Linked DNA regions of Caenorhabditis elegans. The protein of the gene in region 3 interacts with the protein of the main gene of each other region in a pairwise test. Each region holds a gene or a part of one and is shown on either strand. Other genes may lie near its edges. The genes, in order: gpb-1, gpb-2 and eat-16.

Region 1 (7,100 bases), on a different chromosome or scaffold from region 3:
TCGACACGATAAATTTTTGTTGAATGAGCGAAGCTGTGCGCCTTTAAAGAGTACTGTAGTTTCAAACTTCCGTTGCTGCGGATTTTTCATCGAAAATTATTTTTTTGAAAATATTACTCTTTAAAGGCGCACATCGTTTTGCATTCATAAAAATTGTCGTGTCGAGACACCGGGTACCGTATTTTTAAACAATAAGCTCTCAATCGCTGCGAGACCCAAGATTTTTAATGTTTTGTAAAAATTCCATAATTTAATTTCCAGCTCTCCAAGAAGAAGACCCACTTCACTGTGAAGGGTCAAATCGGTGGATACGTGACACAGTACAAGGGATCCCAGGTGACATTCGCCACTGTTCGCGGAGCCGGACACATGGTACCAACCGACAAGCCAGCCGTCGCCGAGCACATCATCCAATCGTTCCTGTTCAACAAGGCCTTCTAATCGTTAGGAGAACAATGATAATAATTTTGAAATAAATGTCTGAAAAACTGAGCTCACAAGAGGTTATAAGGTTCCAGCAATTTATAAGAATTTGGAAATTGAAACAATAAAAAAGAATAAAAAGGGAAATAAGATTTTTTGGGTGTTTTGGGGAAAAGAAGAGATGGGGGGATGGGGGATGTTCATTTTTCAAGAATTGTGATGGATTAAACAGATGTGGGGGGTTGAGGGGGAGAAGAGAGGAAAAGAAGTGGCAGCTATCCGAATAAATGAGAACTTTTTTATCTTTAATTTTGCGATCGGAAGAACTTACAAAATCACGGTGGTAGGAGAATTAAAAGAAATTAGAAAAAAAAACTTAGGGGGTTTTGTGTGTGTGAAAAAGTTGAAAACGGTCTGGAAAGGGATCGATGGGATACATAGAAGACAAAAAAAAGAGGTGAAGATTTGTGGGGGGAGTCAATTAAATTAGTGTAGAAGACGAGAAATGAGAGAAGATGATACCAGAAATAGAGAAAAAAAGAAGCTTAAATAATTATATATCGGGAGGAAATAATAATTAGAATGGATCTCATATTGTGCTTTTCTTGATGTGGGGGTTTTAGGATTAGTGATGCGCGTGGCGTTCGCTTTTCGATTTCAAAATTGTACTCCGCGCGCGTGGCTCCATCACTGTATATCTTGCTCGCCGAGCACAAATTTGTCTTACATATATATAAAATTTTTTGTCGTAGCATGAATATCATGTTAGTAGAATACGATCGGGGAGAGAAAGAGAGCGCGCGCATGTGTATGTGTCTGTGACTAAAGTGAGTGGTGAAAGAGGAAGAAAGATTAAGCTTCGCGGGGGGCGGGGAGACACAGAAAATGTGAAATAAAAATAAATGAGAGAGAGAGAGTTGAGAATTGCTATAATAATAATTTTCACATAGTAAAAAAAATTGATGAGAAAATTCGAACAAACGTCAAGGAAAGTAATATGGGGAGGGCGATTGAAGAGAGACTAGAAAGTACCGAACAAAAAGCGATGAGAAGAGGTGAGAGAAGAAAAAGAGATCCGGGCACGCGGAAGAGGGCGCCGGGATAGCGGATAGCGACGAAAGAATGAGAACAACAGGGGGGTTTCAAGAGCGGAAAAAAATTGGGGAAAATGGGGAAAAAAATTGCCACGTAGTGTCATCATCATTCAATCAATAATTGGAGAATAATTAAGGAAGACATTTGATGTTTCTTAATTCCAGATCTTGAGGAACGAGTCCCATGATCCTGTGCACACGGCCATACCGTCCTCGGTGACTCCTAGACAAGAAACTCGGTTATCGTGACCAGCCAATACTCCTGAAATTGGAAGAACAATTAGTTTTTCATCACTTTCAACTTGGAAAATTTCAAAAAAAGGAGCTAAAGGCACTCACCAGCTCTCTCCTGTCGCATCGAATCCCAAACATTGCAGTTGAAGTCGTCGTATCCGGCGAACAACAGGCGACCCGATTTTGAGAATGCGACACTAGTGATTCCGCAAATAATATTATCATGAGAATACATGGCAAGTTCCTGATCAGCACGAATGTCGAACAATCGGCATGTCGCATCGTCGGATCCGGTGGCGAACGCGTTTCCGGATGGGAAGAACTGCAAAAAATTGATTTTTTTTTGAAAAATCTTCAAAATAATAAAACTTACGGCAACAGCGTTGATGTCTGACTCGTGTCCTGGGAACGTTTGCTTGCACATGCCGTCTCGGATATCCCACAACTGAAATTTAAAAAATTTAAAAAAAAATCAACTTTTCAAAAATCCTATACCTTCGCCGAAGCGTCACAGGCTCCTGAGATGAATGTGCGGAAGTCTGGAGAAAGTGAAAGCGACATGACGTCACCAGTGTGACCGGTGAACGCGGTGCACTGTTGTCCGGTTTCAATGTCCCATAGAGCGCTGGAAAAAAAATTGGAGAATTAGGATAATTTACGAAAAAGTGATATTATATGATATGGTAGAGGTTAAAGGCACATGCCGGTTTGAAAAGTGGGTCTCGCCACGATCATAGTGGCCGCTACAGGCGCCAAATTTCTCAGATTTGTTAATTTGGTGTAGAAAATGAAATTTTAAACTCTAAAATGCAATTTGCACTTTAGAATTTGAAACTTTACAAACTTCTTTTTTTTTCGTGGCGAGACCCAATCGGAAAATAGCGTGTGGCTTTAAAAAATCTGAAATTTTGCAGAATCACGAGATAAATTTTGGAAGTTATCTGAAATCTTTCTTACATTTTCAAACTGGAATTTTTTTAAACTTTTCAAAGTACAAACTACACGTCTAGAGATCACAATTTAACAATAGACTTGTAAAATTTTGAAGTCCGAAAATTTACATTTTTCGCGGGCCGACTTTTGTGCTCTTTCTGTCTTTTATTCACACGTTCTTTGCTTCTCTCCACCTCAATTTCATCAAGCGGCACAAAAAGAGCCCAGTTTGAAAACAAACTCATCAACATTCAACATCCGAATTTCTCCTTCGCACTTCTTCTACTTTTGTGTGCTCTGGCTATACACTGATGCTCAAATTACGCGGAAAAAAAAAAATGAAAAGTAGAAACTAGTTGATAATTTATGATTTTTTATAGGATTTTTCTTTAATTAAAAAAAATGAAATTTTTCAAAAAAAAAACCCACCAAGTCATATCTCCGGAAGAGGTGACAATTTGGTTGTCATCAAGGAATCGACAACACGACAAGTATCCAGTATGTCCTGGAAGCTCACGAGACACCCGCACGTTTCCCTCGCGTGTTTTCAGCGAGTAAATTGAGCAAATGTTGTCGAGACCTGGAAAAATTGAGAATTGTTACTTTTTATTTTAAAAAATTTGAATTTTGCTCGTGTAGATTTACGAGATTCAAATTCTCAATAGAAACCCAGATTTCCCAGTAATCTCTCCGGAAAATTTGAATACAATGAGTAATCCTTCAGCTTACCTCCACAAGCGACAAACGATCCCGATGGAGCATAGGCACAAGTCATCACCCACGATGATCTCAAGGGAATTGCATGAACCTGGAAAAAAAATGCAAATTAATTTCTTTAAATTTTTTCTTTTTTTATCAAAAAAAAAACAATTGAAAATCGTCAAAAAAAACTCACTTTATTTGTGGTGTACGAGTCCCAAACGATGAGCTTTCCGTCTTGTGAAGCTGACACCAAATTGCGACTGTCTGATGCCCAGTGCATTGCATAAATCTGCAAAATTTATCGATTTTATGACTAGAAAAAGTCTGAAAGCCCTACCTTGGCTAAATGTCCCCTAAGCGTACGTCTCGTCCTCATCTGAATGCGGCCAATTGGCTCCAGATTTGAAGCGACGGTGGCCAGTGTTGTGTCATTTGCTGATTTCCGGGCTTCCTGCAAAAAATTAATTTATTTTGTTTTTTTTTTAATTATGAAAAACTTCAAATTATTGGTTTTTACAACTTTTTACTTCAAAATCTGTAAATTCGGGCCTTAAATTTTTATAAAAATTACTGTAATTTCCACTCTAGGAATTTTCATCGATTTTTCATAGTTTTCAACTAAAAAACATAAATTTTTATAAAATCGAGAGAAAAACTATTATCTAGACGGATATATATGAGGTTTTTTGCCACATGAGTCTCGCCACGAATTGTCGATTTACGGGCTGTTATTACATATTTTTGCATACATTAAACACATTAAATGGACAGTTTGAGATGATGCAATAGTGCCCCGTAAATCGACATGGGGGATCAGAACCTCTCATTTTTAGACGTCCACATAATATGGAAAATTGCTGAAAATTCCCGAATTTGAAATTACAGTAATCTTTTCACAAAAATTTGTCGCTTCGAGACCGGGGACTGTATTTTTGAAGCGAAAAATCTTCCACTTCCATAAATGTTTTGTGCATTTAATTAACACCAATTCAGTGTATTTTCTATCTCTGCTGCCCCTCCTCGCTCCAGGCCAGCTCACCCCGTTTTCAGCACCACGAGAGCTTCACCAAACCCCGCGCAACATTTTGTGCTCGCGCACACGCACAACCATGTGTGTGTGTGTGAGTGCTCGTCGGAGCAGGAGCTACCACCAATTCTAGTGAGCGACGCGATGACAACGACAACGACGACGACGACGGCAGCAGAGTCCTCAAGGGAGAATGGCGCACTACGACACGAGTGGAGCTTGCGCAGAAGAGAGACTGCGAGAGATCTCTCTCTCTCTCTCTCGTGCTCTTGGCCAGCAGTAGCGGCAGAAATTGAGAGCATTCGGCGGCGGGGCCCCGGGAAAATAGTGGAACAAGAGCCGGAGACGCCGACAATCTCACATTAGGCAGCCAATCTATTCTCCTCGCTCGCTCGCTGCTTCTGCTGCTGCTCCAGCTTCTCCTCGTCTCAGTGCCCCCACCAGGGGCGACCCCATCTCGGCCAATGGCTCGCCGCGGCCTGCGTGTGTGGAGCAACAACTTCTGCTACTGATCGATATTTTGCAGCGGCGATGGCGGGTAGAAGAAGAAGAAAAGAAGACGACGACGGCTGGGGGACGACGACCATCGTGTTATACACATCCAGTGCAGCAGCACGTCCCCTCAAGTACGGCGCAAAAACAACGCCGATGGCGGCGGCGGCGGCATCGTTGGAAGGGGAGCGCTTTACTTATTACCAACAATTTGTATATGTATGTGTGTATATGTGTGTGTATAAATATATAAATGCGTGTATTTCTCATATTTCGCATATTCAAACAATTGCTAGACCATGCTCTGGAACGAGAGATTACTGCAATTATTAGTTTAAAAAATATTTTAAAAAATAAAAAAAAACACAGATTTACTCACCCGAATCTGCGACTTCAGCTGTTCAGCCTCCTGTCGAAGTTGGTCAAGTTCGCTCATCTTGCTGCTGGTGGTGGTGCGTGCTCCGGAGGATGGTACTGATGGAAGTGTCGACGGATGCGGCTGCGGCTAATGCTGCTCCTGGTCGGTGTTCGCGTTTTCGACGGCGGCGCTGCTCTATTCGTCGTCTTCGTGGCCTTTGTTCTTGCACTCGACAACTGGGCCTGCAAAAAAAAGCGTGAATTAAGAATTATTGGATAGAAAAAAAGAGTTTGAAGGAAATAGCAGAAAAAATCGATTTTTTCCAAGAATTTGATTATTTTCATGAAGGAATTAAATTTATCGTTAAAATAATTCAAGTTTTCGAAGCTTTTAGAGATTTTCTGTGGAGAAAATAAGAAAAAATAAGATAAAAAGGTCAAAAAAGGAAAGAAAATCAAAGAAAAACAACAGTGTGCATATTGACGTCACGGTGTTTGCAGAAACTACGGTAGGCCAGCACATGCTAATTGCCGCGCAATGTTTTTTGTTTTTATTTAATTAATTAATTAATAAGTTTTAAATTGAATATTCAATGCGAAAACCAATCAAAAAATGAAGAAAATTATTGATTGTTTCATTGTAATCAAGTAATTTATGTAAAAATCAAAAATTTGAAAAAAATGGATTTTTTTCAATTTAAAAATAAGTGATTCCAGAATTCTATATTTGAAAAAACAACACATTTTGGTCTTACTTATCTAATAAAATAGTTCGATTCTAAAATCGATAACTAGACGGGAAAATATTTAATTCTTTAGAGAGGAACTTTGGAAGTAGATTATTAGCTCTAGGGATCCCTATAGGTGAGATAATAAAATAAGAATAAACTAAAGGTATGTTTTTGATCAAAACATGAAAAACCTACTAGAAAGAAATCTATATCACTAACCCTTTTAATTAAAACCCCTCGACCGACGTCAACTTGGCAAAGACGGTGAGACCAAGCTGCTGATCAGGAAGTACAGAATGACGGTCTGCAAACCAAAATCATAAGCTTCAGAAATTTTAAGCAAAATTTTTAACTTTCAAAAAATCAATAGATCGATTCAGAAACTGGCGTGAGAGCGGAACACTGTACGAGAAAGAAACCAAACCTTGAGACGCAGACCAAGCGGGATGGAAAAGGGGAGCGGGCGGGAAAAAATGTAAAAGTGTTGGTCTGTGTGTGTGTGTGTGGCGCGGAAGAACAAAACAATGACAAAAAAGAAAGAAAAGAAACTGAATACCACAAATGTCGAATGAAATGAGGGAATTAAGGAAGGAAATGATGGGGCACAGGTATTTGAGTTTTGAGGGAACATATTGCTCTCCGTGTTCAAATACCTTGGGCTCTCCCAGGTAGGAGCGCAAAACGTGACAAAAGCTAATATATATCTGTGCGAAGAAGGCGCGGCTCACTCTTTCTCTCTCCTACCATTGGATCTGCGAATTATTGATTCAACTTTTGTTTGCTAAATGCAGAATTCTAATTGCTTTGGGCGAGGGGACATCTGGTGCCCTCCAGCAGGTGGTGCGAGCATTTTTAACCAATAAAATTGTACAAAGTTCTCAGACAAAAATAGGCCAATTTTGACCGAGCCAGACTGCCATCGAAGATTAATGGCTTTGATGTGACGTGGCAGGACGCAAGACGGCTTAATGGCTGGTGTTTGGGTCTAAAATGTGAATGGGCACAGGAAATGAAAAAGCGGCGAAACGTTCTGGACTAGAAGGGAAAAAAAAGAAAAAATAAGCGGATTGTGTCAGGCAATCAGTCGATTCGACTAAGCAACACACA
Region 2 (5,045 bases), 2.4 Mb from region 3:
CTGTTCCTCTTCGCTATGGCACTTCTTGCCTGTGCCCCATCAGTCAGTGCCGAAGGAGATGATCTTCTCGACTACGTCAAATCGATTGAGCCACTCACGATCAGAAGGAGTCCATTGGCATGCCCACTTCCAGTTGTCGGACAAGCTTGCCCAGAAGAGAACGTTTTCTGGTACTTCAAGTGCTGCGGACAGATTGCTGATCAGTGTTGCTTCCGTCTTCAGGTAATAATTCATTTTTCAAAAGATCTGCTGAAATTTAAATATGTTAATTTCTAAATTTGTTTCTTTCAGGATTGGGTTACTGTTCTTCTTCTCTTCCTTGCCGTCTGCACGATTCTCTCGATCATCATCAACTGCGTCAGATGCTTCTGCTGCGCATAAGTATTTGACTTATAATTTTCACATTTCTTCATCAAATCTTCGGGGCAACAGTTTTATCAAAATTTCCACTTTTCTCTTTATAACCAATTCACTGAATTTCTTCCTTTTAATATTCTCTGATAATTTGCCATACGTTGCTCATTGAATACTCTACTTTCCACACTTCTTTCTTTTTTGTTATGTAATTTTCCTTTCCTCACAGTTCACCCTTGCCTTTTTGAATTGTATTTTAACAGGTGTATTTAGTGAATTCTATTTACATCATTCAGCAATGAACGAGTACTTTACAGTATTTGTGACTAGAAAGTTGAGATAGGAGAAAATAGTGGGATGGTTAGATAATAGTACAGGGATAGAGACTGGTGGGAAGGGGGATGAGTAAAGTGACATAAAGCTCAAAAATTGTAAGAGAAAAATTAATATTAAATAATCAAGCCCAAATGCGAATTGTGCAATCCCAGCTCGCCGAGCAGACGGCTGTTCCATCAGGAGAAGTTCGGAGGCAACTAATACGATTCTCATGTCCATAAAGTACTGAATGACGGGCGCATTTCAGCGAATCCCATACACCGACACGATAATCACCATAACCAGCAAATAGAATACGACCTGTAATTTTTTAATAGTTAGAGTGAAAAGTTTAGTTCTGTGAATTTCAGAGATGCATTGAATTGATTTGGACTATACGTTTTTGTGAAGATTTAAACGTACCGCTCAAACTGAAATCGACTCCATTTACGGGGAACAAGATTGATTCTTTTTCATACACACATACTTGACGATCTGCTCGAAGATCGAATAAGCGACACTGGAAAAAGTAATATTTTCAGACAAAACAAGCAACTCTCGCGACTTTCTCCCAAACTATAATTTTCGAAAAATGGAAGAATAACCGTGAAATTTAATTAAGATTCTCTTGCACGGCCATGTGTCGATTTACGCAGCTCGTGTACTCCCCGAGGAGAAGTGGGCATATTGTCACTTCTTCTCGAGGAGTACACTAGCTGCGTAATTCGACACATGGTCGTGCAAGGCTTCCATAATTTCCCATCCCTTCTCCAATTTTCAATAATGAAGAAGTTTAAACACTTGTGACTTACAGTAGCATCATCAGATCCAGTTGCAAATGCATCACCATTTGGATGAAATCGAACAGTATTAATATCAGCTTCATGTCCTTCAAATGATTGTACACATTGTCCTGAACGAATATCCCATACAAGAGAATGTTTGTCAGCTCCTGCGGAAATAAATGTATTTCCAGTATCACATTTTGGAACATCGATTGCAAATACATCACCAGTATGACCATGGAAATTCTGAATTTTTGAATTGGGTTTCCGATTCGCGAGAATAAAAAACCTGAATAAGTTGTCCACTTTCAACATCCCAAATAGCACATGTTGAATCTCCACTTCCAGTTAAAATAAGATTATCCGAACGAAGGAATGTACAACATGACATATAAGAAGTATGAGTTGCTACTTGTCTTTTCTTTTGAATTATATCATCTTCAAAAGAAAGTGGAACGACACTGCATTTATTATCAAGTCCTCTGTAAAATTGGAATTTTTGAAAATTCAAAAAATAATAATAAAAATTTTTAATTAATAACATGAAAGCTTCAAAATTGGTAAAGTATACATGAGCCAATTTTTGAAAATTCCGTCTGTAAGAGCTCTTTTATAATTTGAAAAAAAAAACAATAAATTCTCATGAACACTATAAGTCCGTGTACTACCGTTTGTATTTTTTGAAAGCTTTGAAGTATTTGAAAGAAATCTTACCCGCAAGCGATCATTTGACTCGATGGAGAGAATGCACATGCCATAACCCAAGTTGTTGGCATCGTAAGAGCATGTTCCTTATTCGTAGTAAATCCATCCCATACAATCACTTTCCCGTCCTAAAATTTACTAATTTGAGCAAATTCATTTTAGAAATCGAGGTTTCAATTTTTGAAGACTACTGAATCTTTTGTAAGTCATATTTTAAACCAACCTGAGATGAAGAGACGATATGTCTTTTATCCAATGACCAATCCATGCATAATACTTTTCCCACGTGTCCTTTTAAAATTCGACGCTGTTTTACACCAAGAGCTCCCATAACGTCAAGTCGTTCGGCTGCTTGTTGAACTGAAAATTACTTAGGATGTAAAAAACTACTTAGTGCGTTTTGGGATTACTGTAGTTCTTGGTAATAGTAAATTAGGCATAACCTCAAAAAAGTCAAAGAGAAAACATTTAGAATTATGCAAATATCACAAAGCATATCTGGTATCTTTTTGTTCATCAAATTATTTAACTCAAATTTCTTTAAAGTTTTCAAAAACTTTTTTCAACTTTTTTCAGTCAAACAAGTTCTCAAAAAGTCCAACTTCACCTAGATTTGACAATTTACCAAAACTTAGACGTAATTTTTGGTGTGTATTGATATTTGGGCAATTATAATATTCGGTTATGAAGAACCGCATTGATATTTTTATTCAATATCCTCACTGATTGTGAGCTTTTAATTCAAAAGTTTATTTTTTCAATAAAAAAACAAAGAAAAAAGACTCCGGAGGATTTCTAACCTAGGAATTGTAAAGTTCAATTTTTTAGTAGTGTTCTTCTTCAAAGTCCCTCTTTTTAAATTGAAGTATTCTAATAAATTATCTTTTTAATTTTTTTCAAATACTTACTAGGAATGTCATTAAGCTTGTGCCTCTCTTGATCCAATTTCTTTCTAAGCTCTTCGGCTTCATTTGCCAATTGTTCTAAATATTCCGATCTGAAATAATGTAGTGTAACCCTTTGTAATGTAAAATGTACAAATACCCTTTTTCGGTTGTTGTTGGCTGAGAGTTTTCTGGCATTTTCGACGAGGAAGACGATTCTCCAGCAATGGTGCTCATTCAAATTGCGTTTCTTTTTGAGATCAGAAGACGAATTATGCAAAAAAAGGAAGAGAAGACTGAGGGTTGAAGAAAATGAATTTGAATAGAACAATTAGAGATGGGCGGTTTGTTTGAGGTTTAGAGGCACATTTTTCCTGAAACATTGCTATTAAAAAAATAAGTTTGAAGTAGCCAAATTCTTAAAGGACATGCCTAGAAATGTAAGAAATATATAGGAAGATCAAGATCATTTACATGATTTTGGATTTTAATTTTTTATTTGAAACAACAAATTAGACAACAGTTTGGCACAATTGAAACGAGCACAATGTAAAAAGAATTTGATTTTAAACCAAAAACATGTTGATAAGGTAATTCAAAATATCGTACTACCATTACTATTAATTTATATTTGCCTAAGGTTTTGCAATGATCGGAGTTTCACACATTTTATAAGTAACGTTTATAAAAAATAAAAGTAAAAGCCTTTTTTGCAAAGTTATTCTGTTGAACATGCTCAAAAATAGGATGGATGTGGCTACATTATCATTAAATTATCATAAATTTGATGGTATTGATTAAGACAAAACTATATTCGCCACGACAAAAAGCCGTCGAGGGCCCGAAATCATGGTGCAATGAATTCTATTTGCGTGCCTTACTCCGCTATGTCTCGCTTCTCCCTCTTCACTATTTTCTCTATTTCTTTTCTCGTTTTGCCGAGCGGTCCTTTTTGCAATGGAAAGAGAATGCAATGCGGTCGCGTCGCGGTTTCTGGGAAAAAGATGAAAAGAGACGGAAGAGATGTGGAAAAGAGAGTGGCTCGAAGAACGGGATGAGTTAAAATTAGGCAATGCACATGTCTTGATGGTTTTTGTGAAGTGAAATTAATTATAAAAAAGTGCTAGGTTAGCTTAAAAGTTGAGTAAAACCAGTTTAAAAAGTCCCACAATCGTTTTAGGTTTTTTGAAAAAATAAGTTATGGAAAATTGTCAAATTTTTGCAACTTTATCCTTCGCAGGGAATAGCATTGTGGAATGCTCTAAAACCTACAATATTATAATAAAAAAAGGCATAAGAAAAATAGGAAACTCGTATAAAACATATTTTTCTGTCTACTTGCAGAGTTATGATGTGTGAAAATGAGAATTTACCACTTTTCGACAGCGCATAAACATATTCAACTTTTTTCTGAAAAGCTTTACTATGATATTGATAATTAACAATGTTATCACTATAGAAGTGGTTTAAATAAATTCCCCACTAAAACCAGAAATCTAGACTAGCTGTAGCTGTAAGACACTTCTTGTACACCGGTAGTTTCAGTGCCAATAATTTTAAGACTCAAAATATTTATTCAAGCGTAATATACAAGCAGAAAAAGTGAAAGACAGAAAAATTAATATCGAGAAACATTGTAGGCATCAGGTCGGTGAGCAGTTGCCGGAGCCGTCGACGAGGTATAATAACGATCTTCAGCAGAGAACATGACCTGATCACCAGGAACCATGACACGAGATATTTCAGAATCTCTTGGTGATGAGTCCACGTGGATTTGACGTGGAGCTTGACGAGTGTGTTGAATATAATTAGCATTACCAGGAATATTATCATAATTGACAGGAATTGGAACAGGAGCAGATTGGGCAATGATAGGAGATGAGACTAAACTGAAATATTGGCTATTTTTACTGAATTTTTTAGTTTGTATGTGAAGCAGTTAGAAATGTCTCAAATCTATGAAATTCAAGAAATTTGATTGAACTGAAATGCAATTTTGTCT
Region 3 (5,780 bases):
AAAACTTGAAATTATAGTACCAAAAAAATGGTGTCTGTTTTTTGATTTTTCCGGGGAAAAGGTTCAATTTAAAAAAAAAGAAATTATTTATATTTTTTCTCTTCGAAAAATCAACATAATTTTGATAAATCAATAGTTTTCCCCGGGTCCCCGGGTTTTCGTTGTGAATTTTTAATACATATTGGATTTTCTGTAAATTGGAAGATTAGATATATCCAGACAATTTTATTAATGGAAGTGAACTAAAACCTTTTCCCACTGTTTGATTTTGGGTGATCCGTTGCGGAATCCGTTCGTGCTCATAATCGGTATTCTGTAAATTTATTCAAAATCTCTATTGTTCCAAAAATTTCCCGTGTCGTAGCACATTTTGGTTGTTTTTTCCCGCAAAATTTTCATCTTCAGACATCTATGTAATATAAGAAATTTTTATTCTTCAAAAAACCCTTTCCTTGTGTTTCTTATTCCCAGAGTTCCCCATAGTTTCGAATATATATTAAGGTGTAACACAGACATAAAAATAAGAATAAATAATTTTATTGAACATCAACGCCTACAAAAAGCTGAAAATAATGATATACTGACACATTAATAATATATTATGTAACAACTCCGGTTCTGAAAGTTGATTTTTTTGAGACAATCACACCAGGTAGAGGGTAAGAGAAAATGAAATTTATATATGATTTTTGGAAAAAAAAAGAACTGAGACGTTATGATATCGTCATTTTTGGTGCGAATTACCATTTTCAAATCAAATTATTTTTGAGTAGATATAATTGAAAAAAGTTAGGTTGAAACACCTAAATACGCTAGCGGTACCTTACAGATACTTTTAAAATTTTGAAAAAAAAACGAGAAGTGTGCCAAAAAAGCAGGAGAACTCTGTGTGAAATGAATGAGGGAAACAAAAATTGATTTTCTGAAAAGATTAAAATAATATGGGTAATAGAAAGAAATATAACACTTTGTACACGTTTTTGTGAGAAAATAGGATTACAAATTAGTATATCGTGAAAATGAAGAAGAAGCTGGCAGGAGATGTGGATTATGATGGACTAGAAGAGTCTGAAGAGACTGTGGAATTACATGTATTATCGATCGATTTGGAAGAGAAAATAAGGTCAAAATATGCAGTGTTGGGTGGTTCGAGATTGTTAATTTTGAGAAGAAGTTCATTGATAATACACATATCAAATGGTTCGCTTCGAAATATTTAAATTTGCGTGTAAAACCGATGCAGAGGATACTGATTTCCCTTTTTGATGGTCGTTATTTGATTTGGTTTTTTTTTTGAGAAAGAAGAGGGAAAAGTGAAAAAGAATATACAGAGAGACGCAGACACGTACGTACACGCAGAAAAGAGAAACGAGATGTGAGAAGAGAATGACGTCATTCGGGATCCGGTCTGCAAAATAAAGAAATGAGCTGAAGAGAGTAGGTCATGAGTTTAGCTTTGATGGATTTGAGTCATTAGTCTTTGGCCAAAAAATCTCATGGCAACTGCCAAGACAGGAGATTTAAGCACCAACAGGTTACAGAAAAAATGATTGGGAATACTAACTCAAAAAAAACTAGCCGATATTTAAAGGTGTATATCGCCAGTTTATCCTATTTGAACAAAAGCTTAACTAATATATAAATTTAACAGTTTTGGAGTTAATTGTTCGTGTGGTAGGATTGTCCCATTTTAATAGATTTTTCTGACATATTTCCACAACTTACTTGACCCCATGAGCCTGTCGAACTGGCAGCGAGTCGGACGATAGCTGTTTTGGGAGAACTTGACCAGTCCCGATGGAATCTTGCGGCTGAAGATATCAAAGTTTTCATACATAATTTCCTGGAAAATCTTGCCTTTGCTGGTTTACTCGTTGCTGGTTTTTTAGTTGTACCCATGTTGAATACGAAGTTGCGCCACCCGAGTCGCTTTGTTCCGTGCTGTTGCGCTGCTGTCAATACTGCTTTGTAGATTTGGGATCGGACGAAACGTGGATATGAATCCTTTGCCATCAATGTGAACACGTGCTCTTCAGAATGATAGAATGCGAATCTCATTTGTGAAGCATCTTTCGCTTTCGAAATACACTCCAATGTCTGATCGAGGGTTCTATTGTCTACATTTACTTGTGCAGGTGCTCCTTGAGCCAAAAATTCTTCTCGTATTCTTTCAGCTTTCTGGTATATCTGCTCATTCGGTGCATATTTCAAATCTTGTATCGCTATCCAGAACCGTATATTTTCCGACGAAAATTCGGATTCTAAAAATGTTTCGAGCACTTGCCGTCCTATAGGATCTTTCACAAGCTCTTGAACAGAAAGTCCCCATCGTTTTACCCGTTTCTCGGTAGGGATCTCGGCACTTGACCTGAAAAAGTATTTGCAATAAAGATTAAAGATTAAATAATAATTTACGTGTCAGTAGGCTGATTCCAAAATGAAGCTTCATCACTGATCCATGGATTGGATGGTTGTGGAGGGTGAAGGAATGGATCGAATTCAGCTCTTTGGTCAACCCACGTCACCATTCTGAAACACGAATTATTTAATTGAATCTATTGTCTTTTGATATCTGATCCATTATCAGTTCGAAATTCAATCTTAATAATACATATTTTGATTCGATTCAGCTAGGAAAAGTTTACAATTGGATTGAATATACTCACGTATCCGATGCTTTTAATGCTTTTAGCCATGGCTTTGTCTTGATTGCAAATCGTAATCGATCCATAAGACATCTATAACCTTGTGCATTCTGCCGTCGTATTTTCTTTTCTATTTTCATATAAGGGTCCTCTAGGAAATTTGGTCCACCACGACTTGGTTTTCGTATCTTCCAAAACGCTCGTTCTTCTGAATCGAACACTACCTTGTCCACTTTCTTTTTTTCTTTTTGCTGCTTCAATTGAAGCTCAGACTGTTGAACGATGAAAGCCCACATGTGTGCGAGAACATCGGCAAGTCTGAAAATTTATTTTTGAATGCCATATGTATTGAAAATTCAAAATACTTTTCTATCACCAGAGATAACTTTCAGATTTCGAGAAAGATAACTCAATAATCTAAAAAAAATTAAATTATTATTTCGATTTTTCATTCTGCAGCGATGCACGTTCAAAAAATTAAAAACCCAATTTTTAAAAGGTTAAAAATAATAGCTTTCGACTCCAAAACTGAAATCATAAAAATGCCAAAACTAATCTCTGTACACTTTGACATTTTTCGTGATCTCAGTAAGATTTCTTGGCGAAGCTTTACCAATTTATTTCTAAGTCGTGAGGATTGTTCAATATTTTCTGACTAAATAATTTTTCCTAATGTCCGAAATAATGTCCCATACCTGTTGAATGACTCAACTTCATCTTCTTCTAACCCGTGTTTTTGCTCATTTCGGAGCAATCGCTTGTTGAGGTAAATGGCTGAAATATAGTGGATCAGATACAATAACTTTTCTTGGAATTACCATATTCAACATCCGGAACCAGTTCAGCCTGTGAAGGCCAAAAATACGGCCTTTGAAGCCTGTATAACGTTCCATCGTCTTTGAAAGGTTGGCCCTGAATTAATTTTTAATTTAAAATACTTAAGTTAAACACTGAAAAACTGCAGTCTTTAACTTACATGTTCGATAACTGGAAACATGTAACCGTGGTGAAGTAACAAACTTGCCAGATGACTCGCTTCAGCCTCATCGTCAGGAGCACCCTGTTAAAAATTAAAAATTTATTTTCATAATTTTTGTGATTTTCTTGTCAGAAGCTTTATAAGTTTTCAAATAAGTGCTCCTGCTGTATTTGAGAGGAAAGTAAACTCACTCGCTCAAGAACGAGAGCTATCAATTGCTGACCGGTGATGGCATGAGGCACGGCGATCCGGAAGTATTTATGCGTTTTCAATTGCGCACCTTCCATCACTCGCTTCGCGAGCACCTCGATCTAAAATTTTCAAAAGAAATTTTAAGAAAATTGAACTTCAAATGAAATACCTTGGTCAACGGTGGCATCATACAAAATGCGGGGTTTGAGAGCAGCGTGTCTCAATCAGCTCGACAGCTTTTGATATTTTTGAATTAAATATTAGAATAATAATCTGCAAATTGAATATTTGAGAACTGTATCATACGGTTGCAGATCAGTAAACGATGATGGAGATGATAGGAATGAAAAATAATAAAATAGTAAGGCCAAAATGCTTAGATCTCTAGTTCTCTGACTCTCTCGTTCTCTATTTCTTTCTTCTCCGGGGATGGGGGACTGCTGTGGTGCGTGGTGGGCGGAGAGGGGGGCGAGGGGGTGCTTATGTGTGTATATGTGAGCGGGTGAGGAGAGTGAGGGTTTGTGCGCGTGTGTGTGTGAGTGTGGATTTTGAGTGAGAATGTGAGACATACGACGAAGCTGTCTTCCTGAATTCAAACGCAGACAGGCAAAGTCAATAGCGCAGGCGACGAGAGCGGCGCCTTCCCTTCTCTGCCTAGTCGCCGGGTCCCCTACAGCCCAATGATTTCCAATAATCGAGCAGTCTAACGTCTCTCACTCTCTCAATTACTCTGTGGCTCCGAGAGGGCTTCGAGAGCCCTCTATGTGTGTGCATGTGTGTGTCAGAGATGCGTGAGTGAGTGTGTGCGTGTGCTGCTACTGCTGCTGCTTCTCCTTCTTTTCACTTCACGGATCGATCTCGTCGTCTCGAGTTGTCACAATCAGCAGTAGAAGCAGTATTCCAGGCTTCTTCTCATTCTTCTGCGTCTCTTGTGTCCACTTCTTTCCCCTTTTATTCAATTTCGATGTGCTACGGCTTCGAAGACGACGACAGCGACAACGAGCTTCTTCTTCTTTTCCCTTTAACATCTCAGTCTCTTCAACATGTATATGGTGTGTGTTGCTTTTTGGTAGTGGTGGTAGGCGAAGGATACTACTACTTTCTACTCTTCCCCTCATCTAGCTTTTTTTTTGGAGAAAAAATGTCAAAAAAGTGAAAAACGGGTTGATTGTTTCGTATTTCAACTATTGCGAACATTGTCAACGATCTTTGATTCTGATTTTAATATTCGTTCAGGGCATTGAAAATTGATTACACAATAGTTTCAGTAATCTTTTGGGATATTTGACTGCTCGGTTTTCTTCTGCAAATGGATCAACATTCTTCCGTCGATTGCTGATTCTCTTTGAAATTTTCAGTACTTAAAAAAAATTTGGGAAAATCTCAAATCCGCTTAAAATCCGCTTAAAATCTGCTAAAAATTTTGAGAAATCTGTACAGAATTTAGGCATCACAGCAGGATCTACCGGTTTTCGACGTTGATTAGAAAATAAATAGAAAGTTCAATAGAATTTCCAAAATATAATTTGGGTTGTCAAATCAAAAAAAAAAAGAAAGTAATTGCGGAATAAATAAAATAATAAATTTATTGGTTTTATTAATCAGAGTTTTATGTTCCAGATTCAGAACAAATCGTCATAATAAAGAGTGATAAATTAACACATTCGTTTGTGGTTCTTCCTGTTTCAATCAATACTGATTTTCAATTTTCCGATGGGAAATTCATGCGAATCGACCTCCGATCATCTTTTCGCTCGCAGAGTTATCATCTTTCATTTCCAATAGAAAAAGACGGAGAAACTTGAATATAAACAACCCATAAACTGTGTATTATATTGCTGGGAAAACTGAATAGGTTCGAAATGTGTTGATGGATACGGTGTTCAATTCGGTGTTTGCACACTAAAGAGAGATAGAGAGAACTGGCAATAGGAGAGTGACGAGACAACTAGACGGTCACATCG

What was found.
Region 1: the proteins of eat-16 (region 3) and gpb-1 interact in a two-hybrid assay, tested with the Caenorhabditis elegans proteins (one study listed by BioGRID).
Region 2: the proteins of eat-16 (region 3) and gpb-2 interact in a two-hybrid assay, tested with the Caenorhabditis elegans proteins (one study listed by BioGRID).

Annotation. Positions count from the first base shown.
Region 1 is NC_003280.10:11,742,307-11,749,406, forward strand, and holds gpb-1 (Guanine nucleotide-binding protein subunit beta-1), read right to left. Parts: upstream 5,345-7,100; 5' UTR 5,342-5,344; coding exon 5,285-5,341; intron 4,755-5,284; exon of another isoform or gene 4,617-4,754; intron 3,838-4,616; coding exon 3,724-3,837; intron 3,676-3,723; coding exon 3,580-3,675; intron 3,493-3,579; coding exon 3,414-3,492; intron 3,265-3,413; coding exon 3,114-3,264; intron 2,377-3,113; coding exon 2,247-2,376; intron 2,197-2,246; coding exon 2,125-2,196; intron 2,074-2,124; coding exon 1,857-2,073; intron 1,780-1,856; coding exon 1,673-1,779; 3' UTR 505-1,672; downstream 1-504. Other genes in the region: Serine carboxypeptidase ctsa-1.2, read left to right, coding at 262-441.
Region 2 is NC_003279.8:7,317,669-7,322,713, forward strand, and holds gpb-2 (Guanine nucleotide-binding protein subunit beta-2), read right to left. Parts: upstream 3,418-5,045; 5' UTR 3,281-3,417; coding exon 3,204-3,280; intron 3,157-3,203; coding exon 3,068-3,156; intron 2,520-3,067; coding exon 2,383-2,519; intron 2,288-2,382; coding exon 2,169-2,287; intron 1,937-2,168; coding exon 1,744-1,936; intron 1,701-1,743; coding exon 1,482-1,700; intron 1,190-1,481; coding exon 1,093-1,189; intron 991-1,092; coding exon 812-990; 3' UTR 622-811; downstream 1-621. Other genes in the region: F52A8.1 (DUF2650 domain-containing protein), read left to right, coding at 1-222, 292-381; F52A8.3 (uncharacterized protein), read right to left, coding at 4,662-4,927. UniProt on the Caenorhabditis elegans protein: Guanine nucleotide-binding proteins (G proteins) are involved as a modulator or transducer in various transmembrane signaling systems.
Region 3 is NC_003279.8:9,721,030-9,726,809, reverse strand, and holds eat-16 (Regulator of G-protein signaling 7), read right to left. Parts: upstream 4,090-5,780; 5' UTR 4,007-4,089; coding exon 3,986-4,006; intron 3,936-3,985; coding exon 3,816-3,935; intron 3,706-3,815; coding exon 3,622-3,705; intron 3,558-3,621; coding exon 3,464-3,557; intron 3,420-3,463; coding exon 3,341-3,419; intron 2,964-3,340; coding exon 2,667-2,963; intron 2,530-2,666; coding exon 2,416-2,529; intron 2,369-2,415; coding exon 1,858-2,368; intron 1,844-1,857; coding exon of another isoform or gene 1,830-1,843; exon of another isoform or gene 1,812-1,829; coding exon 1,726-1,811; intron 1,409-1,725; coding exon 1,393-1,408; 3' UTR 526-1,392; downstream 1-525.